Danio rerio: one gene and its partners. The protein of the gene in region 4 purifies or fractionates together with the protein of the main gene of each other region. This does not show direct contact. Links are inferred from orthologs where the notes say so. Each region holds a gene or a part of one and is shown on either strand. Other genes may lie near its edges.

The links.
Region 1: the proteins of polr2b (region 4) and rpap2 purify together in Homo sapiens (affinity purification with mass spectrometry; 3 studies listed by BioGRID and IntAct, with this or other methods). This does not show direct contact. The link is inferred for Danio rerio from reciprocal best matches to the Homo sapiens genes POLR2B and RPAP2.
Region 2: the proteins of polr2b (region 4) and ctdp1 purify together in Homo sapiens (affinity purification with mass spectrometry; 3 studies listed by BioGRID and IntAct, with this or other methods). This does not show direct contact. The link is inferred for Danio rerio from reciprocal best matches to the Homo sapiens genes POLR2B and CTDP1.
Region 3: the proteins of polr2b (region 4) and rprd1b purify together in Homo sapiens (affinity purification with mass spectrometry; 4 studies listed by BioGRID and IntAct, counting the BioPlex papers as one, with this or other methods). This does not show direct contact. The link is inferred for Danio rerio from reciprocal best matches to the Homo sapiens genes POLR2B and RPRD1B.
Region 5: the proteins of polr2b (region 4) and mediator of RNA polymerase II transcription subunit 26-like purify together in Homo sapiens (affinity purification with mass spectrometry; 3 studies listed by BioGRID and IntAct, with this or other methods). This does not show direct contact. The link is inferred for Danio rerio from reciprocal best matches to the Homo sapiens genes POLR2B and MED26.
Region 6: the proteins of polr2b (region 4) and dnaaf10 purify together in Homo sapiens (affinity purification with mass spectrometry; 3 studies listed by BioGRID and IntAct, with this or other methods). This does not show direct contact. The link is inferred for Danio rerio from reciprocal best matches to the Homo sapiens genes POLR2B and DNAAF10.

What each region holds. Positions count from the first base shown.
Region 1 is NC_133177.1:11,243,061-11,247,314, forward strand, and holds the start of rpap2 (putative RNA polymerase II subunit B1 CTD phosphatase rpap2), read right to left. Parts: upstream 2,801-4,254; 5' UTR 2,776-2,800; coding exon 2,721-2,775; intron 2,633-2,720; coding exon 2,587-2,632; intron 953-2,586; coding exon 838-952; intron 735-837; coding exon 636-734; intron 522-635; coding exon 456-521; intron 366-455; coding exon 277-365; intron 1-276. Other genes in the region: glmna (glomulin, FKBP associated protein a), read left to right, coding at 3,127-3,132, 3,332-3,391, 3,473-3,598.
Region 2 is NC_133194.1:12,947,668-12,951,677, reverse strand, and holds the start of ctdp1 (RNA polymerase II subunit A C-terminal domain phosphatase), read left to right. Parts: upstream 1-1,210; 5' UTR 1,211-1,387; coding exon 1,388-1,662; intron 1,663-4,010. UniProt on the Homo sapiens protein: Processively dephosphorylates 'Ser-2' and 'Ser-5' of the heptad repeats YSPTSPS in the C-terminal domain of the largest RNA polymerase II subunit. This promotes the activity of RNA polymerase II.
Region 3 is NC_133198.1:46,851,370-46,854,869, reverse strand, and holds part of rprd1b (regulation of nuclear pre-mRNA domain-containing protein 1B), read left to right. Parts: intron 1-380; coding exon 381-507; intron 508-1,075; coding exon of another isoform or gene 1,076-1,078; coding exon 1,079-1,254; intron 1,255-3,075; coding exon 3,076-3,225; 3' UTR 3,226-3,500. UniProt on the Homo sapiens protein: Interacts with phosphorylated C-terminal heptapeptide repeat domain (CTD) of the largest RNA polymerase II subunit POLR2A, and participates in dephosphorylation of the CTD by RPAP2. Transcriptional regulator which enhances expression of CCND1.
Region 4 is NC_133189.1:58,465,461-58,468,960, forward strand, and holds part of polr2b (DNA-directed RNA polymerase II subunit RPB2), read right to left. Parts: intron 2,060-3,500; coding exon 1,895-2,059; intron 1,731-1,894; coding exon 1,534-1,730; intron 1-1,533. UniProt on the Homo sapiens protein: Catalytic core component of RNA polymerase II (Pol II), a DNA-dependent RNA polymerase which synthesizes mRNA precursors and many functional non-coding RNAs using the four ribonucleoside triphosphates as substrates.
Region 5 is NC_133186.1:5,668,140-5,672,234, forward strand, and holds the start of mediator of RNA polymerase II transcription subunit 26-like, read left to right. Parts: upstream 1-1,295; 5' UTR 1,296-1,441; coding exon 1,442-1,510; intron 1,511-2,057; coding exon 2,058-2,135; intron 2,136-4,095. UniProt on the Homo sapiens protein: Component of the Mediator complex, a coactivator involved in the regulated transcription of nearly all RNA polymerase II-dependent genes.
Region 6 is NC_133188.1:1,040,948-1,044,371, forward strand, and holds part of dnaaf10 (dynein axonemal assembly factor 10), read left to right. Parts: intron 1-748; coding exon 749-849; intron 850-936; coding exon 937-1,067; intron 1,068-1,732; coding exon 1,733-1,834; intron 1,835-3,082; coding exon 3,083-3,198; intron 3,199-3,424. UniProt on the Homo sapiens protein: Key assembly factor specifically required for the stability of axonemal dynein heavy chains in cytoplasm.

The DNA of each region.
Region 1 (4,254 bases), on a different chromosome or scaffold from region 4:
CCCCACATTGAAATGGTCTATAATTAGACTGTTTTTGTCCAAAGGAAACTTCATTCTTCAAAGAACATTTCTTTACAAAATATTACATATTTTAGACCCAAAACGTTTCAAATATACTAAAACTATACAGTAAATATTTACTATTAAATAAAATATGTTAGTATTTATGTTTAGACTGTGTATACTGAATAAATTTCATTAATAATGTTTTAAAAATTCAAATAAACAGTTTTCTAGTAATAAATTAATTGACAATTAAATTAACAAATACACTACCTCTCCTCCTTTCGAAGCCAAAGTGGAATCTTTGATATCTGGAGCTCAAAACTTTTGGAGGCTTTGTAGCAGAAATTACTGCAAAAGCACTGGGGGAAAAAACACACACAGAACAACTAATTAATCTCCAATCATTAATAAAATACAGAAAAAAAGAGAACAATTAAAGAAAAACACACCTTACGCTCTGTAATATCATAGACTTTATTTGTCTTGGTGGATATTTTATATTGTTGAGTGGGCACCTGGAATTAGTATAATACCATTAATAAAAAAGAAAGAACAATAACAACAAAGAAAAAAAAAAAACTGAAGTTTTTTTAGTAAATTTCGAGTGTGAGAATTCACAAACTTCTTACATTAGTTAATTTATTTGGGCACATGGGATATCCACACAGTTTAGCAATGGATCGTTCTTCCACAGTGTCTTTGTAGTTGGCAGGAGTGATGTGCCAGGCCTAAAGTAGAACAAAAAAAAAAGTAGGACATTCTCTCAATGGATCACAACAAATAATTTTAAATATCCATCTGAAGTGTTTGGAGGCTAAATAAGTGCCTTACACAGTCCATGAGGAACTCTTCTGTCACGCTGTCCTCCAACAGCCGCTCAACCACCTGCCGGGCTTTACGCTCCAACTCAAGCTTCTGTCGGAGTTGTTCTTTAACAGCTTCCCTCCTGCAAACATTACACTTTATATCAAAGGTTTTAAATATTTTAATTTGCAATGTGAAAGCTCAAAAAAGGCTGTACTTTCTTTGTCAGCAGAGGCAGTTCAACCTTCCAAAGGAGCGGCTGAAACAGTTCTACATTTCCATCATTGAAACTAAAGTCCACTGCATTTCAATAACTGTCTTGTTTAGCTCAGCTACCAAATCTGACCTCTGAAGACTACGCTGAATAGTTTAGTCTGCTGAGCGAATCACTGGTACAATCCTCCCGACTTTACAAATACTGTACTTATCCAAAGCGAGCAGAAGGGCTGCCAAAATCACTTTGGACCCCTCACACCCAGCACACAGCCTCACCCTGCCAACTTTTAACTTCTGGTCAATGCTACAAAGCACTATGCACCAGAACAGCCTGACACCGAAACAGTTTCTTCCCTCAAGCAATCTATCTTAGGAGCACTTAATGATAGTACTTGTGAAACGAACATCACTACTTGCTATACACTTTTTATACACATACAGTGCATCTGGAAACTATTCATAGCGCTTCACTTTTTCCACATTTTTTATGTTACAGCCTTATTCCAAAATGTTCTTGCCATAATAAATTATATATTTGTAGAGCAAGCCATTTTCTTTTGTCATTAATATTTTAACAAACTTTAGGTAAAAACCATTTATTGCAGATGAGTTGGAATACTATATCTCTTGATTGTGAAAATTGCAACCATCTGTTAAAAGTCATATTTTTCAACATTTTTGCAATTGAAATCTTCAATACTCAATATAAAATCATGATTTCTGAAAACTACAAAAGTTTCCAGTTTTAGTAATTTCCAAAAATCTTTTTTTTTTTTTTTTTTTTGCAATTGTACTCTTCAAAACACCATATCAACACGATATCTCAAAAATTAGGAAGTTTTGGAGTATTATTTAATATTTTTGTCTATTATGTTAAAGTTAGTAATTAACTATAAAGAGCACCTGCAGATCAGCTACTGGCATTTGAAACAGCCAATTATTTTTTGTAGGTATCGCCACTTTTTATGTTGTTTGTCTTATATTCTTGTCTGATTTTGACCTGCTCCTGCATTTACCCCAGCTATTTGTCTGTTACTTTCTTTATATGTGATGCAGAATTTTCATCCATACTCCAAGCATTGATCAACTCCAATATTTATAAATTTTCTAATCTAATCTAAAGCCATCATGTCATCAAGTAGACTTTTTACAAAGCATTTTAAAAATACAAGAAACTAAAGTATTTTGATACAAAATATTAAGCCTTTTTCATGAACCTAATCAAAGGCAAATTACAAAATACTATTGTATTTAAAATACGTATTTGAAATACATGCATCACAAATACTTCCCATCCCCGATTGTAATAACTAACGTATAATAACTTAAGCCAGTAACTGTTATGCCAATGTACTATACATTTTATATTACATATTTATATTTACATATCTATATTTTATATTACTCACAAACCCTTAACGTTTCATAAGCGATTAAAACTACAGTAAACTAACTAGTCAGGCTTTCTAAAGCCAGATTCAAAGTTAGTCCAGATATCTTTAATCTAGATGTAATTACTACTCAAAATCAAGTGCAAGTGCAAGTGAAGTTAATGCACACCTTTTCGCTTCATCCTCTGCTGAAATAGCTTGGGTTCCCTTTCCACCTAAAATTCAGATTAAACGTACAAACATTTTGTTAAAATTCAAACATATAAATGAAAAAGTCCATGTAACTTTATATATATACCACACCTTTCTTCTTGGACTTTGAGGGCCGACTCTTTCTTGTCACTTCACCGGCATCCATGCTTGTTTTATCAAAACAAAACTCCTTCCGCTTACATCGGAGCACTACGGCAAGCCGTGTGTGACACGCTTCATCCAGCACAATCCGCTTCAGTTTCTAAACATGCGACGCTGCTTGAAGTATAGAACCTGAGTAAGCGCGCTCCTTCAATTTCTATGTCGTTAAGTAGACCTATATAATATTCACAAAACAAAGCAGTAGCCTAGCTTAAACAAAACTACGCGAACGTTTAGTTCTCCTCTCTCTCAACGAACTCAAGTCCTTTAGAGCATTTTAACGTTAGCTATCTTGCTAATAACTAACCTACAAGAAGCAGTTTGACATCTCTTTGAGGACGAGTGAGGTCCATTTATGAATGTTTTGCTTTTATCATCTCGATATGTGTTATTCTGTGTGTGTGTGTTTAATGATGATTGAGTTGGACTGTGTGTGACAGTGAACTGCTTTTTATGAAGATGTCATGATTGATCGTGACGTCAGTGCGAGCTTGTCTTTGCACCATCACTGCTTTAGTATACTGCTAGAGTGACTGTAACATCACATTATCTTCATACAGAAGGCGTTTCGGAGCATCAGCATGGCTCTAGATCAGCTCAGTGATATGGTCCAGAGATGTGTAAGTGTCTTAATGTGTGCTCCAGTACACTCGCATTAAATCACCTGCAGTCATTTACGTGTGTATTCACTCTTTTTGCAGCAAACAGTCAAGGATGAAAGCTTCGCACCAGAAGATTACGATTTGTTCACTGCTGCTGGAAGTACTTGCATTGAGCAAGGTGACAGTGCTCAGGTTCTCAGCATCCTAGTGGACGAGAAGAACCAGGTGAACTTTATACAGTAGCATCTAACCCAAACTCTACTTTGTGAATTATCTATGTACTGTAGAAGATGCATTAAAGGAACAGTTAACCAAAAATGTAAAATTACCCCATAATTGACTCGCTTTCAAGCCATCCTTAATGTTTACTCTTCATTCAGATGAACAAGAGTAGTTTTAAAGGGGTGGTCCACTACGATATCATAATATAAACTTTAGTTAATGTGTAATGTAGCTATGTGAACATAAACAACATCCCTGAATGTTATACGCTCAAAGTTCAATGCAAAGCGAGACATTGCTTTTACAGAGTTAGCTTAGCAAAGCCTACAGGGGACAACAAAAAAATACATCCAGGTTAATGAGCTAAATGCTTCAGGTTACATGCATTTACATCATGCAGCGAAGGGGTGTGGCCAAAGGCGCTGTAATGTTATAGCAGAGAAAGCTAAAATGCCGTCCAAATTTCCTCAGAGCTTGTTCTGTTTCTGCATAAAGAGAATTGTTTACAATTTAACTTAAATATGTTCCAGAAAATTATAAAAAATAAATATAGCTAGCATTTAACAAAGGACAGCTTCTAGAATCTCTCTTAGTTCAGTGCTGGATTTGGCTAAAAACTCCTCAAAGGAGAAGCAGCTCCAACCTTTATAGACTAAGCT
Region 2 (4,010 bases), on a different chromosome or scaffold from region 4:
GGTTACGGGCCTGTATTTACTGTCATGGCAAAGATAAAAGAACTGTTATAAGAAATTAGTAATAAAAACTTTTTAGAAAGAAAAAAATGTATTCTCTCTGTTAAACAGAAACTGAGGAAAATATACAGGAGGTCTAATAATTCAGAAGGGCTGACATCAACTGTACATAGCTGGGGTGAACTTAACCAACAAGGTAAGCAACTGCTTAGGGCCCCAGGGAAATAAAGGGCTCCCAGCTAATGCCAAGAAGCCTATTTTAATAATCCTAAAGCTATTTTACAATTTTTTTCTATCATATGTTGTAAAATCTGTTCAGAACCATTAAGATTTTACCATTATTACTTCTTTTCTAAACCAGGGGCCCCCATGAAAAGTGGAACGTTCCATTCATACTGCACTTAATAGAAAATATTAAAATCTAATCACAAATCACAAGTAAGGCTAATTAACTGTACATAGCTTGTGAGCTTGTTTTTTTATTTGTGAATTTACTTCATTTAATTTTATATGCAGTTTATACGCACACACACACACAACCCTGAATATAAAGAGAAAAAAATATCTATAAAGTTTTATTTTTTTTTTAAAGAAACTGTTTTAAGTTTCAATGCTAGGGCCCCTAAATCACTATATCCGCCTCTGTACATAGGACAAGTGCAATCCTGTCTGTGAGTCCATGCTATCTGAAAGATTGATGTAATAAAGAAATATACAGCAAAATGAGTAATCCTCTTTGGTAACTTTTTAAATGAATGAGTAAGTTTTACATTCAAGCCGAAATAAAACAAAAGTGAAATCACTCCCTCACATGAAGCTAAATGTTTACATGCTGCGATGACGCGCGGTCTAATCCCCTGACAGCGGATGGTGTGATGATGATATTTCATCAGATTACATCACAAGCCAGGGGTTTGCCTGTCTCAAACGGGGGAGGGGACGCATAAAAACAGTTTGCTATAAATGCTTAAGTCAGATTTTCTCTGAAGCAGCAGTTTGACTGTAACTGTTTCACCAGTTTGACTTTAAATGTTTCATCTATTTCTCACGCGTTTTTTTTAATATTTAGCCAAATATTTATGCGCATAAATGTTGTCATTATTTTATTACAAACTAAAACAGAATACTCTAGGGTAACGACAGTTTTTTTTTTAAAGAGGGTTATTAAAGTCTCCCGGAAGTGGATAGAGTGTCGCTCGTGCTGCAGCCTTGTGTTTCCTGTTTACGGGCGGGAAGAGTGAACCTGCGTCTCAGCCTGTCCTGCAACAGAGCTCATTTTTATCTCTTCATTTCCCTGCGCGCCTCTGGATTATTTTCAGAGCTATTTACTACTTTTATTAACTCTCCCCAAGCGCTTCCTGCGGCTCTCTGACTGAAGTTTGAAGCCCTGATGGAGGAGCCTGCAGACTCCGGCGGCGGTGCGGCAGCAGAGGGCCCCGTGGTGCAGGTGACGGAGATCCGCTGCCCCGCAGGAGCTCGTCCCCTGCGGCTGCTCGAGTGGAAGGTGAAACCCGGAGCTCTGGTCAACGTTGACTCCGTGATCGCGGTATGTGCGCCGATCCCCGCCGAAAGCGAGTCCAGAGCGCCCGAAAAGAAGCTCAAGTCGGACCGCGCTGGAGTTGTGCAGGAACTGTGCTGTCAGCTCGGGCAGGTCATCGCGCCTGGGTAAGACACGCTCTCATGACCCCGTTGATATCCCAGATTTCACGGCTGACATTTACGCTTTTATTTCCAACCCTTGCTTCTGAGCTGAGCGTGCTCGCGCTAAGCTAAAGTGGCACGCGCACTGGCGCTCACGCTGAGCTCGTGACAGCAGCATCTCAACTTCCACGCGCCCGGTGTAAACATGTTTAATATCATGTAAAGGTGTTTTACGGGATTGTTGTTATACCAGGCATAAAATGTTCGTATTAACTGAAAAATATGACTGATTATATCTTGGGAGATAAGCTCTGATAACCCCTAAACTCTGTGTATACATGGCAAAACAAGAGTTGGGGGAGCGGCCCGCCCTTTTTACCCAATCAGAAACGTTCTCTCTCTGTCAGTCATTTGGTGCGTTGTAGTTTGGTGCATTCGGATTGGCTGGTACGGTTGTAGAGGGCGGAGATTTGGAGTGAGGGTGTGTCGTTGAAAGCATGGAGGCGGTCTGAATAATTCAGAGAACTCTAACGTTAGTAGTGGAAGAGAAGCGTGCAGAGTCATCCAGGATTTCCACGTGCCTTATTGTTATTTTTTTTGCACCACATGGTTGTTGAAAAAAGTTTGAAGTTTTGGGATTAAGCAGCCCAGAAAAGTATTATTTTAGTTATTTTTATTAATGCATATAACTGACAAAGCATAAAGGATTATATGATAACATATACAACAGTCATACAAAACTTAGTGATGCAAAACATACATTAAAAAAAAACTACATTATATATATGGGGGCTTTATCATATTTAAATTATTAGATTGTTTAGATTTTTTTCGTTATTAGAGAGGTTTTTATAGCTTTCATGTAATTGAGGTCAAAGAATTATAAACTATTTTTAAATCTTTACAGAAAAAAAATAAAGGAGGGAGTAATAGACGTTACTTTTGCCTTGTATATGTGAAAATTCCCAAGAAAAATGTTCATTATCGAGTGTATCGAGTGTATCATAGCCAGTTTTACAATTTAGAAAAAGAATCATGCATTCGTCAAAGTGAATTATTTTGTTAAATGAATCAAAAGTCAACCCTGAAACCTGTTTCCAAAAATCATCAGAAAATGTACAAGTACGAAATAGATGTAAAAGACTTTCAGGCTCAGTGTTACAAAAACAGCCTTGATACTGAAATGAGAGTTTTGTCGTCATTATATATAAATATAATATTTTATTATTATTATTTTAGCAGTAGTAGTATTAGTGGTAGTGCTATTTTCTTTAGTTCATGTTTATTGGAATCACGTGACGCCTTGACAATTTTTACTTTTAAATCATTACTTGAATTAAATGCAGAACATGCTTAAATAAGCAAAACAAACTATATAAAACAGATAAAGCTTACACACAGAGTTCATTGTTAAAATGAATCTTTAAAAAATGCTAAATATTTACAGAGTAGTTATAGGAGATTTAAGATCTTCAGTCTCTTCTAATCCTGAAAATATGAAGCTGAGTATTAAGGACAATCTGCGTTTATGTATAAAAAAGGGATAGGCTGAAATAGGATTCTGATGGGAGGTTTTGCAGTATTGTGATTACTGTTTTAAAATATGCTCTTTTTAAATGTCTGAGTAAAAAACAAAATAAACTTTTTTTGCCTTTGAGTATTTGTCAATTGCGTGCAAATAAATTCTTAGAATCAACAGTTGTGTGTTTTAAACCTTTAAATGATACCTTCTCTGTGATGTTGTAAACACCATATTGTTTTTCGCTTCCTCTTGCTTGATTGGATGTTGTGAGCACATTTTTTTTGTCTGCATCTTGGCAACAACCCGTACAGTGAAGAAACAGCAACATCAAATTGAGGCTAATGTCTTGGAAGCAGACATTTATGTGGGTACAACACATTGAAAAAAATGTAGCAAGGTTTTGCAGTTTGTCGTTATTTAGGCAAAGCAGCCACCTTCTGTTAAATCATTTAGAACTGCAATAAAATACCTGCAAAATTTTTTATACGGCTTTTTTGTTTCCATAACACTTAGAATTTATTCAACATTAAAATACATTTATTAACATTTTTAAAAATTCTAAATTAATGACACATTATTTAAAATGTGTGGCTAAGAAATACAGTTGAAATCAGAATGATTAAACCCCCCCACTGAATTATTAGACCGCTTGTTTATTTTTTCCCTAATTTCTGTTCAACGGAGAGAAGATTTCTTCAACACATTTCTAAACATAATAGATTTAATAACACATCTCTAATAACCTATTATTTTATTTTTTTCATGATGACAGTAAATAATATTTTACTAGATATTTTTCAACACATTTCTATACAGCTTAAAGTGACATTTAAAGGCAGGTTAGAGTAAT
Region 3 (3,500 bases), on a different chromosome or scaffold from region 4:
GTCAGAAAAGTGTAGTGGCTGAGAATGGGCTTTATACAGTGTCTGCTATAATGTTAATGTTGTTTATGTGTTTAAATTGATGAATATGGCCACGGTGTAAATACACGGTGTACAGTTATGAGCTTATTGCCGCATTGTATCGATATGATAACATAATATTGTTGCTTTTGGTGATTTCCTGAAGATAAAGACCAAAAAAAAAGAGCACAACTGGAAAATCTACAGCAGTCGGCATCATCGATCTCATTTAAAGAAAGAGTTTGCGACGGCATTTGATGATGTAGTAGTGCTGTCCTATTTCTTAGGGGTATATTTGAAGTAGGGGTTATACAATATAATTGGGATTGAGTCTTAATGTCTTGATTGTGTTGATCTGGCAGACGGAGGACCTGGTGAAAGCTCTGCAGGATCTAGAAAACGCTGCTTCAGGAGACGCCGCCGTCAGACAGAAGATCGCATCTCTTCCGCAGGAGGTGCAGGACGTCTCTCTGCTGGAGAAGATAACAGGTTAAGATCAAGTTTAAGGGTGCTTTCACACCTAGCCGTTTGTTTCTTATCTTGGCACGTTTGTCCTGTCAGCTCAGTTCGTTTGGAAATATGTGAATAGTGTAATCGTGTTCTGATCCGCACCAAGTCAGTCGGACTGAGATCGCCTGAATGAGATGGTCTCGCCTTGGTTGATACGAACTCTGGAGCAGTTTGGTTGTATTGATAAAGCAATATGAGCCAACGAACTAACAAACCAGGCTTTATCACAGTGTGTAATGGTTATGTAATATGTAACTCTGAGTCAACTATTTTGCTAAAGAATCAATAGTTTTAAACATGCTGCACTTTTAGATTTAACCCTCAGCTGGATGTTTTCATTCACTTATAGCTGTGTTACTCAATGCATCGAAGCTAATTATCAAAAACCCTCAATGTTTAATGTACATTGGGGCTATTTTGCGTTTATCGTGTGAATGCTAACGTGTTTGAGGATATACTAATATAAAGCAGAAATGTGTTGACTCGATCATTATCTTGCTCATTGTGGTTTGCATGAATCTCTTCGTTTGGTTGTTGTTTGTGTCAGCAGATAAACAGGCAGCAGATAAGCTGTCAAAGACGGTGGACGAGGCCTGTCTGCTGCTGGCTGAATATAATGGACGTCTGGCCGCGGAGCTGGAGGACCGCAGACAACTGGCCCGAATGCTGACCGAATACATACAGAGCCAGAAAGACGCGCTCAACGAAAGAGAGAAGAAGCTGGAGGTACCACATACACATCTTTTTTTCCCCTCAATTTATGTTTAACAGAGAGATCGTTTCCAACACATTTCTAAACATAATAGTTTTATAACTCATTTCTATTAACTGATTTATTTCATCTTTGTCATGATGACAGTAAATAATATTTGACTAGATGTTTATTCAAGACACTTCTATACAGCTTAAAGTGACATTTAAAGGCTTAACTAGGTTAATTAGGGTACGGTTAGGGTAATTAGGCAAGTCATTGTATAACAGTGGTTTGTTCTGTAGACTATCCAAAAACAAATATTGCTTTAGGGGGCGAATAATGTTGACTTTTAAAAAATTAAAAACTGCTTTGATTCTTGCCAAAAATAAAACAAATAGGACTTTCTATAGAGGAAAAAATATTAGAGGAAATACTGTGAAAATTTCCTGAATCTGTTTAACATCATTTGGGAAATAATAGAGAAAGAAGAAAATACAGGAGGGTGAATAATTCTGACTTCAACTGTATGTGTAAAACAATTTTTATTTTTATTTTTTTTGCATTTTATTGACTTTTATATTGTGTTTTTATTTGAACTGACTGTCCTTGTTGTCTTGTTTGGTGGCCTTGAGTGTCTAGACAGGCACCTAAATAAAAGGTATTATTATTATTATTATTATTATTATTATTATTATAAATCATATTGTACAAACATTAACAAACTTTTTTTACTTAACCAAAAGCAAAGAGAGAAGAAAACCTCAAAATCAGAGAAATAAAAAAATATAATAATAATTTTAATAAATACATTTAAAAAAAAAACTTAAAGCATGCCAAATAAATAATTCTTAAATCGAGAAATTTTTCTAGACAAATAGAAATTATTGTCGTGTCTTCCTAAATAAAATGACAATGAAGAGAGTTTTTCCTTAAAACAAGCAAAATAACCAGCCAGTGATGTAAGTAAAATCTTGTTTTGGCTTAATCACATTATTGCTTACCTTATTGGTAGATTATTTAGCTTGTTTTAAATGGGAAATGAAGCACTCGGTCAAGTTTATATTATTTTGTACATGGGATTTACACTTTAATGAAACTATGTTAAACTCTATTACTGTAACCATTTAGCAGAAAACAGCGTTTTTTAACTATAGATTTTAGACCTAGGGAGCCGCCATCTTGGAATGTCGAGGTGTCTGACGTCACAGGGTTGTTCCGTTCTTTACTTAAAATAGAAAAAAAAAAATAGAATAAATATATATAACTTTACATTAGACACACATCTGATGCTTGTATTTGCAGCAGCAAATCCACAACTTCACCTTTTGGGTTAAATTAGGCTTTACAATCTTCTTTACTTTTACTGTATATGTTTAGCCGAGGGAACGGAACCAACCCCGTGACGTCAGACACAGCAACATTCCAAGCTGGCGGCGCCCTAGGTCTAAAATTTATAGTAAAACACTCCATTTTGTTCTAAATGGTTGCATTAATCGAGTTTGTTTAATATATTTTCATTAAAGTATACAAAATAAAGTAAACTTGACTGAGTGCTTTATTTCTCCTTTAAGGAAAATCTCACTTAAACTCAATTTTTACCAGTTCTTACAAGTTCTGTTTAACTGAGAGAAGATTTTCTTCAACACATTTCTAAACGACAGTTTTAATGACTCTTTTCTTATACCTGATTTCTTTAATCTTTGCCATGATGACAGCACGTAATATTTGACTAGATATTCTTCAAGACACTTCATATCGCAATATTTATCACAGAAAAATTAAATATCACCATATCAGATGTTTCCAATATGGTGCAGCCCTTGTGTGTTGATTTATCCGGTGTGTTTTTGCAGGAATACAAGCAGAAACTGGCTCGTGTCACACAAGTGAGGAAGGAGCTGAAATCACACATCCAGAGTCTTCCAGATCTTTCTCTGCTCCCGAATGTGACGGGCGGCCTGGCTCCGCTGCCGTCTGCTGGAGATCTGTTTTCCACCGACTGAACATTTCATTTCTGAGACTCACAGACACTGGCAGAGCAGAGCAGAGCAGAGCGGATTAATGATAACAATAACAAGCGTATGGAGATTTCCAAAACCCGCCGGTCCACTCATCACTAAATCCGACGCCGAGATTTTGTTTTGCCGTGACTTTGCTGTGGAAAGCGACTCTCTTTTGCTTTGTCTGATACCTGTAGGTTTTTAGTTTTTACTGCTCGGATAATAATTTGGCTTCATTTTGGTTTTGGGAGGAGACTAAAGATGAGGATTCAGTTTTA
Region 4 (3,500 bases):
CAAACTCCCAGCAACAAGCAATGTCAAAACCACATGTACAGGATAATAATCTAATTATAGACAATATTAAACCTCTTTAACATTAGTAAAAGCACATGCTGAGTGACTGATGCTCGTTGGTCTGCACACCATTCTAATGTTCATTTTTAAACCATGTTGGCCAGTTAGATTATTTTCAAGATCTGACAAACCTCCGCTGCTGCTTACAGTGAGAAATCAAATGTCATGCAAAATCATATTTAAGCCCATATTAATAGTATAAAGCACATAATCAGCAGCTGAGGTGGTCATTATAGCAGGGGTGGCCAACCCTGTTCCTGGAGAGCCACCTTCCTGCAGATTTCAGTTGCAACCCATATCAAACACACCTGTCTGTAATTATCAGGTCCTAATTAATTGGTTCAGGTGTGTTTGATATGGGCTGCAACTGAAATCTGCAGGAAGGTGGCTCTCCAGCAAAAGGGTTGGCCACCCCCTGTTATAGTAAGCTGCGTCCCAAATGGCACAATATACACTTTGCACTTATGCACTATGTACTTATGCACTTACACACTCAACAGCATAGTGTATGTATGTAGTGTCGACCCAAATGGCATATTAATGTTTTTTATTAAGCGGAAATTCAAACCGTTCCCCTGATGATGTTTGACAGTTGCCAAATCAGTGAAATAAACGACCGAATTATCAAATAATACCTGCCGCGAGTATTGCCGCATTCACCATCGGGAGGCGCTATAATCACTCTCGTAGAAGAATTTTGCTTTTACAATCCGAAATAAATTTTGTTATTCAACATGTGCGCCCGATAGCTCCGCCCCTTCCGCTATGTAAGCAAACCTGCGGTCGTTGAGTGTGTGAAGTGTCCATCATTACACACTTCACTTTAGCAGCTGAATGAGTGCATCATCCGGGTAATTAAAGTGCACTTATTATTGTTAGAGTTTTCAGTGTGAACACACTACTTACACTATTGATACTACAAAATGGCGTGGAATAGTGCATTAGTATGCGATTTGGGACGCAGCTGTAGTTTATGCTGTTATTCAGCCGTGATATTGCATAAATAGAAATGGATATCTATTTCAAATAAACGTGTTTGCATGCAGAAAATGGTTTCCACAAAAACAAAGCAGCAATGTTTTAATAATCAGAAATGATTTCTAAATTTGTGCTTTATGAAACTACACTATAAACCCACACAGATGCGTTCTTTTAAATTAGAATTATAATTCACAACATATTCAGTGTTTGAGCATATCAGATCAGATCTTAAATTTATAGTTAACGTCAGCTTCATTGACTATCTTCATGGCAGAATAAATTCAGAATAATACAAATACAAAAAAATCCACAAACACAAGTGATTTATCAGACTTAATAATAAATATTTCTCTTTAAACTCAGGCAGAGTATTACTGAATGATTCTTTAAGTGAGTTTACTTCTTGAACAAATGTTTTACAAATATAAAAAAGGCCACTGAAATATGTTTGTTTAGACTTAAATAAATGCAACTAAATAAACACCGTTTTACCCTAGAAAGTAAGCCTTCTTGGTCTCGCAGAAGTCTGACACACCCACATGCGGCAGCACCTCCTTCTGCAGAACCTCTTTAGCGTATTTAATTCTCCTCTCTTTAGTGACTCCAGGTTTGGCCCCTCTGGAGCCGATGAAGTTCAGAGCCACGTTCTGCTCCTGAATCACAAACGCCTCATCCAGAGACGGCTTTACCTGTGGACAGACAGTGGAGTACGATTGAAGGTAAGTGTTGGTATTTCAGTCTGTCCTTTGTGTTATATGTGATGCACCATACCCTGTCAGAATGAATAAACCAAGGGGATTAATTACGCTCTAAACTAAACTGTATATTACTGCACAGCGCTCATGTGACATACCATTTCCATCATCTCCGGATCATCGAAGTCATAGATGATGTGCTCCAGAATGTCTCTGTCAGACACGAATCCTAAAGCGCGAAACACGATGATGATGGGCACCTCCTGCCGGATATACGGCAGCGTGGAGACGATCCTCTGACCGATGGCACTTTTCTTTACTCCCTGAAATATACAGAAATAATTGCAGAAAATTCAACACTAGCTTGGTTTCCATTACCCTGTGCTAATGCACATATTGAAGTATTAAATGATGCCAAATTTTAAACAAAAATCTCTTATTCATAAAAAACATTTTTACACTTGTTCAAAGTGGTTTTGGAATTGTGTGAAAAGGGTTAAAGCTCCTGAATGTACATAGTTTACTCCTGTAAATCATTAAAATTCAATAATATGTTTGCAGATATTTCAGAATCATGCTAAGTGACCATATTTATCTGTAAAACCATGCTAAATCAGGTATCCTGCTCTGAAAATGTGCGTTCTGTCTGGGAATGTCTGTCTTTGTTTTGATCTGTAACTCCGCCCACTGCCACTTTAACCAATTATATTTCAGCACAGCAGGTTGCCAGACGGTGGAAAACAGCGTAATTTAATTCAGTCATGAAGGCTCTAAATTAGAGGTGTGCAAACTCGGTCCTGGAGGGCCAGTGTCCTGCATATTTTAGTTCCAACCCCAATTAAACACACCTGAAACAGCTAATCAAGCTCTTACTAATTATACTAGAAACTCACTTGGACAGGGAGGTGTGTTGAGGGAAGGGGAAGTTAAACTATGCAGGACACCGGCCCTCCAGGACCGAGTTTGGACACCCCTGCTCTAAATGTATGCGGATGCAGATGAAAATGCGCCCTCTGGTGGACAGAAGCAACTGCAGAAATGAGAGACTCGAGTCTCATTCACACTACGAGCAACTCGCAGCAGCAAAGCGATAAGCAACTGTTCATTTCAATGAGAAGTGAGTGACTTCCAGCAACCTACGCCTACACGAGCGACAGTGACCGTTCGCGACCAGGTGGGTGTGTCTAGCGATGTGACAAAGTTGAGAATCCTTCTTGAGCGACAGCCAATAGGAGCACTAATAGAGCTCATGTGATCCTCTCTCAGCTCGCTCAGAGGCCGGTTGTATTCTCCGTGCTGTAGGCCTGCGTTTGCAGCAGGTCGCCACCAAGAGCGACAGGCAGATACCAAGTCACAGCTAGTGTGAATAAATCAGAGTTAAAAAAAAAATCCCTGAGGTGGTTTTAACCAGCAAATAATACACATATTACAAAGGTAACATTAGCAGGGCAGTGTACAGTACAACGTTGAGTTCACAGTAAACCTGAAGCACCGCATCACTCGCTCTAGTTTACTCACGGATGTTTTTCACCTAAAACTAACTTTCTGCTTAGTTAAAAATTGATTTGAATTTGTGTAGAAGATGCCATTAGGACAAACTCCACACTTTCACGATAAATGCACTGCAAATTATGCCTCGTTCACTGCCTCCAGATGGAATGGTTGCTTCATATGTAATTACCAGAGTGAATACTTCATTTTAGTTTTAGCTCGCTCCTGTTAGTGTCGTCAATCTGGCAACCTGCATGTGCTTCAGTCTAAAGG
Region 5 (4,095 bases), on a different chromosome or scaffold from region 4:
AATATTGGTGGGCGGGGGAACTGCACTCCTACGTCAAGTTGTGGTCGCTCTGAAAACCGCTCCAATTGGTCCATTTTTGTAGTGTTAAATTGGAAAAAAAAAGGGCCGTGTGTTTATATCACCCCAATATGACGGTCTATACACTATACATGCATGTCTGTCCAAACAGCTTGAAAAGTAGATTTTTCACCATAGGTGCCCTTTAACCCTATATAGTGCATCTGGAAAGTATTCATAGGGCTTCACTTTTTCTACATTTCTTTGTTACAGCCTTTTTCAAAAATTGATTAAATTAATTTATTTCCTCAACATTCTACAAACAATACCCCATAATGACAATGTAAAACAGTTTTTGAAATTGTTAGAAATTTATTAAAAATAAAAACGCTGAAAAATCAGATGTACATCAGTATTTACAGCCTTTGCCGTGAAACTCTAAATCGAGCTCAGGTACGTTCTGTTTCCACTGATCATTCTTGAGATGTTTCAGCAGCTTCATTGGAGTTCACCTGTGGTCAATTCAGTTGATTGGACATGATTTGAAAAGGCATACACCTGTCTATATACGGTCCCAGGGTTGACCTTGCAAGTCAAAGCACAAACTAAGCATGAAGACAAAGGAATTGTCTGTAGACCTCCGAAACAGGATTGTCTCAAAAAACAAGGCTGGGGAAGGTTACAGAAACATTTCTGCTGCTCTGAAAGTTCCAATGAGCACAGCGGCCTCCATCCATAAGTTGAAGATGTTTGGAACCACCAGGACTTTTCCTAGAGCTGGCTGGCCATCTAAGCTGAGGGATCGGGGAGAAGGGCCTTAGTCAGGGAGGTGATCAATAACCCAATGGTCACTCTGTCTGAGCTCCAGCGTTCTTCTGTAGAGAGAGAAGAACTTTACAGAAGGACAACCATCTGTGCAGCAATCCACCAATCAGGCCTGTATGGTAGAGTAGCCAGACAGAAGCTACCCCCCGCCTGGAATTTGCCAAAAGGCACCTAAAGGACTCTTGGATCATAAGTAACTAAATTCTCTGGTCTGATGAGACTAAAATTGAACTCTTTAGAGTGAATGCTAACGGTCTAATCTGATTCAATTCATTATGCTAAGCTAAAAGTGACCCCGCCAGAGCAAGAAATGGCTGAATGGATAAAAAAAAAAACATTTCAAGTCAGCTGTTCAACTCTAGGAGACTTGTAAAGAGAGCCTTGAAAAAGGTGCAGTGTTTCTTTAAATCATGTTTAAAAGCCCATCTTGCACCTGCTGAAACCATTTAAGTCATTTGCATTCATATGTGGACACGGAGAGTTGAGCTCAAACGGGACTGGCTGTAGTAGTTTCATATCGACGATGCAGGTTTAAAAAGGGCTTTGCATATTGTTTGTGTTCTCATGCTGTTGTACATTTATTAGTGGACGTCGTTTTTAAAAGTGTCATTTTCTGACAATGAAAAGAGCTTCAAGTATCCAACAGCTCAAAGAGCAGCTCATGCAGGCCGTCGATGCTCAAAACAATGTGAGTAAGAGCTGAGTAATGCAATGGGAAGTCCTTCTAAATGCATGTCGTTTATGCTAAATGTGTTCTTGATTGTTATTTTTTTTTATGAAAGTTTTGTCTTAAAGTTTTGTCATTTGTAAGCATGACTGTTTTTATTCCTTTAATTAATTCAGGTAAATTAAAGGACAAAAGTTCCTCACTACAGTATTTCAAATTGGTTGTTTCATTGAAAAGGAAAGATTGGCTGGTTTTATTTTATTTTTACATGTATGTTGACTGTTGGTTTGCTCAATCTGTTGTGGGATTTATTTTTTAAAGCAAGTTTTATAGACATTATTTCACAGAGTTTTACAGGAATGAGCGTGCAAGCAGATTTGCATTTGAAACCACAAATGATGACTGAAAGTGTGACTGCTCCAGGTGCACATATGAGAAAATATATGAGAACGTTCATGTCTGAAAAAGACACAGAAACTGACCTCAGTGTATAGAGGAAAATAGCAGTAAATGTAGATGATGTAGACTGAAAGTCTGAAGTGACATGAACTTAACCTTTACCTGTCAGCAGATACAGAACATGGTGGCTGTGTTGGATGTGATATGCTGTCTGGAAAGTTACCCCATGACTAAAGAGACTCTAGAGGTAAGATACTAACTCGGTATGTTTGCACAGAGTTTAATTTAGAAAATGATGTGTTGTTATATTGTGTGAAAACATGAATAAATAAGACTAAAATCACAAAGGAGGAGCACAGCAGCTTCACAAATGCAGTATATTACAAAATATGGGAAAAGGCTGAATAGTACATGCACAATTTTAAATGAAACAAACAAATGATGAATAAAAATTATATAAATTACATTTATAGAAATAATAAATAAATAAAAACGTTACTAAACCCTACAAAACATGTATTAGCTTGCTCTGATGAGCACAAAACAGCCATTCTAAAATATGCTGGAGTTATTAACACAAACTTCCTCAGGTTTAGGTTGACACAAGCCAGTATTTTATAGAGTGACCATCTTGTCTGGTTATAAAAAATCTAAATTAATTTATTTTAGGTTGAGCAGACGAAGAAAAAAAACTAATTTTCAGATTTTAATTAGCAAAGACCAGACCACCAGTGAGCACTTCAGAGAAACTCACGTCATACAGCTATTAAAATTAATGTGCCACCTTTAAAAATGTTCATTTCATTTATTCATTTTCTTGTCGGCTTAGTCCCTTTATTAATCCGGGGTCACCACAGGGGAATGAACTGCCAACTTATCCAGCAAGTTTTTTACACAGCGGACGCCCTTTCAGCCACAACTAATCTCTGGGAAACATCCACACACACATTCACACACACACTCATACACTACAGGCAATTTCGCCTACCCAATTCACCTGAACCGCATGTCTTTGGACTGTGGGGGAAACCAGAGCACCCGGAGGAAACCCACGCGAAGGCAGGGAGAACATGCAAACTCCACACAGAAACGCCAACTGAGCTGAGGTTCGAACCAGCAACCCAGCGACCTTTTTGCAGTGAGGCGACAGCACTACCTACTGCGCCACTGCCTCACCCATGTTGACATTTTCAACCATAATTATGTGTGAATGCATATTTATTTCTGCCGTTACAAAATGTTACAAATAAATTCTAACGATGATGCAGCAAATGCTACCGAAAATTACACTGCCAGTTTAGCCAATTATATTTGAACACCCCGGGTTGACTTCATGGAAAATTGCATATTTTATTCATAAATGCTCTCAAAGCATGTGTCCATGACCGAAATGGACAGTAGCGGACTCCTAAATGAGATGCAAATTCTGGAATGTGTTGTTCATCTAAAATCATATTTTGCCAACTATTTCTATAAGATTAAAATAAAATAATCAAATAAGGCGAAGCAGTGGCGCAGTAGCTAGTGCTGTCGCCTCGCAGCAAGAAGGTCACTGGGTCGAGCCTCAGCTCAGTTGGCGTTTCTGTGTGGAGTTTGCATGTTCTCCCTGCGTTCGCATGGGTTTCCTCCGGGTGCTCTGGTTTCCCCCACAGTCCAAAGACATGCGGTACAGGTGAATTGGGTAGGCTAAATTGTTCGTAGTGTATGAGCATGTGTGGATGTTTCCCAGAGATGGGTTGCGGCTGGAAGGGCATCCGCTGCGTTAAACATGTGCTGAATAAGTTGGCGGTTCATTCCGCTGTGGCGACCCTGGATTAATAAAGGGACTAAGCCGACAAGAAAATGAATGAATAATCAAATAAGATCAAGTCCTTTTCTTAAATATTCAACTTTTTAAATTTATTTTGTGGAATAACTGCCTTTATAAAAAAAACTGTATTGTAAAAGATATTATTACCTTTCTCATATTAATTTATTCATTTTCTTGTCGGCTTAATACGCAGCAGATGCCCTTCCAGCCGCAACCCATCTCTGGGAAACATTCACACACACACACAAATACACTACGGACAATTTAGCCTACCCAATTCTTCTGTACCGCATGTCTTTGGACTGTGGGGGAAACCGGAGCACCCGGAGGAAACCCACGCGAACGCAGGGAGAACATGCAAACTCCACACAGAAACGCCAACTGAGCCGAGGCTCGA
Region 6 (3,424 bases), on a different chromosome or scaffold from region 4:
GTATGTACGATGTATAATTCAAAATGAAACTTATCTAACATGTAATTAAGTAGCTATTTGGGATGAGCCATATTTTTCAGCAATCAACATCAGAAACGAAAGAATTCCAATAAAAAGTCACATTTGAAACTGACACAATTCCATGAAGAAATAAAGATCGTATTGATTTGTTTGAAGAAGCTGCAGAGAAACAAAATTTTCCTACCATTGTAGTAGATTGCAGAAACACTTTGATTGACATTCTCCCTTTGTACGTGTCATCAAAGGGGGGAAGCCCCGCCCACTAGTGCCCATCTCTCCTTCATTAACGTAAACAGCAGCCCTGAGTGAGAAGCAGCCGTCTGTCCATTAACCAATAGAGTTATTATAGTTAATGAAAAACAAAACAATCATTTACGTTTACTTGAAATAAAAATAAAAAACAAACGTTTATAAAAAACAAAAACGGACTGAAACTGTAATGTGAACACATTAAACTGACTGAAACTAACCATTCGTTTTCGTCTTTGTGAATGTATTTAATACATAAGCCTACTGTAAGCCTTTTAGAAGTGAATATTTACTTCGCGCTGCAGGTGTTTGACCCGTACAGCACCTCAGAATCTGTAATACTGCTGCCATTGGCCAGATCAAGCCTGTCCTTCTCCAGTCATCCTCACTATTGCTCCTGTGACAAAAACAATATACATATTGATATGATGTATTGTGCATTATTGATGTTTAATAAACATACTTTTCAATATTCTAGATAGAAAAATCCAAGCCAATCAAGTGTGGGACGTTTGGAGCCACGTCTCTCCAGCAGAGGCATCTGGCCACCGGAGACTTTGACGGAAATCTTAACGTTTGGTAGGAGCCCGCTGGATGTGGTTATGTTTGTGGTTATCTATTATGTTGTTATTTAAAGTGCAGTATTGCGTAATCTTTGCTCTTCAGGAATCTGGAAGTGCCCGACAGCCCGGTGTACTCAGTTAAAGCACACAAGGAGATCATAAACGCCATTGACGGAGTGGGAGGACTGGGCATCGGGGACGGGGCTCCAGAGATCGTCACTGGAAGTAGAGACGGTAAATAGGCGGATTTCTGCAGACGAGAAATCGCATGCAAATGTCAACAAAGCTTTCACCCTTTCTAAGTGTTTTGCAATTGTGTAAACTACTCAAAAATGTCTCTGTCGGTGTTTTCAAACTATTATTTTTGATTTACCAAAGCCAATTTCACATCTGTCTCATGCATAACAGAGAGACGTCACATCCATAACCAAGCTTTTTCCTCATACATGCAAAAATGTCATGTAAAATAAAATCAATCATGTTTGTTCTACCGTATATTGAGACAACTCTTCTCCTTTTGATTAGCATTCTTTCTTTTGGGTTGTGCAGTTTAATTCACTGAATGTCTACAAAGCATGTTGTATTCTGTAAACTCGCAGACTTTTTTTGGTCACATCCATAATGCATGATTATTTCCCTCATTAAAAATATAAAATATGTTTACAGATTGCTATTTGTCTGATCTCATAACTCTTTAGTGAGTTGTTTTGGTACACATAAACAGATGTTTCGATATAATGTTCACATATACTTACTCTGTGAATTTATATTTCGAGTTTTTACTGCAAATGTCACAACCATAACGCTGGAATTGCTCTGATACACATATTTATAGAAAACTGACTGCGCTTAGAAATGTTTGCGCTTCGGATTTTGATTGCGTGTGGTTTTATTAATAGGCACAGTGAAGGTGTGGGACTCCCGGCAGAAAGACACGCCGGTGGTCAACATGGAGCCCACAGAGGGAGAAACCAAGAGGGACTGCTGGACGGTCGCTTTCGGTCTGTGATTGTTAATCTTGCGTTACACACACACACAAGAGTTAGTTCATGAGTTAATGTTTTATTCTTTTTCAGAGTTTTACGTTTGTTTGCCCTTCTTTCTTTTCTTTTTTTACCAACAAATTAGAAATGGTCATACAAATCTTTTAAAGCTCGTCTGTTTAAGTGGTCATCAACTGGTTTTGTTATCGACAGGACTCATATTTTCCCGGTTTTCTTTTTCCAATTTTCCCCAAATGATGTTGAACAGATTCAGTGTTTCCTCTAATATTTGGTCTTCTAAAGAAAGTCTGATTTGTTTTATTTCAGCTAGAATAAAAGCAGTTTTTAATAGTTTTAAAGTCATTTTAAGGTCAATATTATTCGCCCCTTCAGCAATATTAGTTTTGGATTGTGTGCAGAAATCAATTCAATTCAGCTTTATTTGTACAGCGCTTTTACAATGTAGATCGTGTCAAAGCAGCTTCACATAAATGGTCATAGTAACTGGATCAGGGTGGTTCAGTTTTTACTGTTTAAGAACAAACCACTGTTATACAATGACTTGCCTAATTACTCTAACTTTACCCTAATTACCCTAGTGAAGCCTTTACATGCACTTTAAGCTGAATACTACTGTCTTGAAGAATATCTAGTCTAATATTATGTGCTGTCATCATGGAGAAGAGGAAAGAATTCAGGATTTGATAACCCTGGCCTCCTTTACACCTTATTTATTTACACTTATTAAGATTCAGTTTAATTAATTTAATCACAATCTCAAGTCTGGACACGCATTTGAGCCAGTTCACACGCTCACACACCACAGCTTTTATTTCTCACGCTTAAAAGTCACCGGTCCCTCCAATATTGACTGAAGATCAGCATTGGGTTTTCTTTCTTTTTATGTGTATTTTCAGGGTTTCTGCAAGTTTCACCAAGTCAAATTTAAGCCTTTTCAAGAGCATCAATAATGAAATTTCAGACTTGTATAGGGGTAAACACTACTGATGTTTAAAAACATTTAAAAACTGTAATTACTATTGTTTAATTAATTATTTCTTAGCCGCATATTTCATATAATGTGCCTCTAGTTCTATACATACTGTTTTTTCAACAAAAACTCTTTAAATCTTAGGAAACTAAAGGCATGCACAACAGACTGTTATAATATTAGTTATAAACAGAGATTTACTAAATGTTTTGTATGTGTTCTGACTAAAAAACACAGAGTAAATCTCACACTTTGCCTTGCTTTTTTTCCTCTAGGTCATGCTTTCAATGATCAAGACCGCTGTGTGTGCGCTGGATATGATAACGGCGACATCAAGCTGTTCGATCTTAGAAACATGTCTTTACGATGGGAGAAGAACATCAGAAATGGGGTGAGTGTTTATAATATTCAGTGCACATTTTTAAAGGCCTCCCAACAACAGTGGATGCATTTAAACAGAATTATGAAAATATATTATTATTATTATTATTATTTCCCAGAGATGGGAAAAGGCTGGAAGGGCATCCTCTGTGTAAAAGATATGCTGGATAAGTTGGCGGTTCATTCCACTGTGGCGACCCCTGATTAATAAAGGGACTAAGCTGAAAAGAAAATGA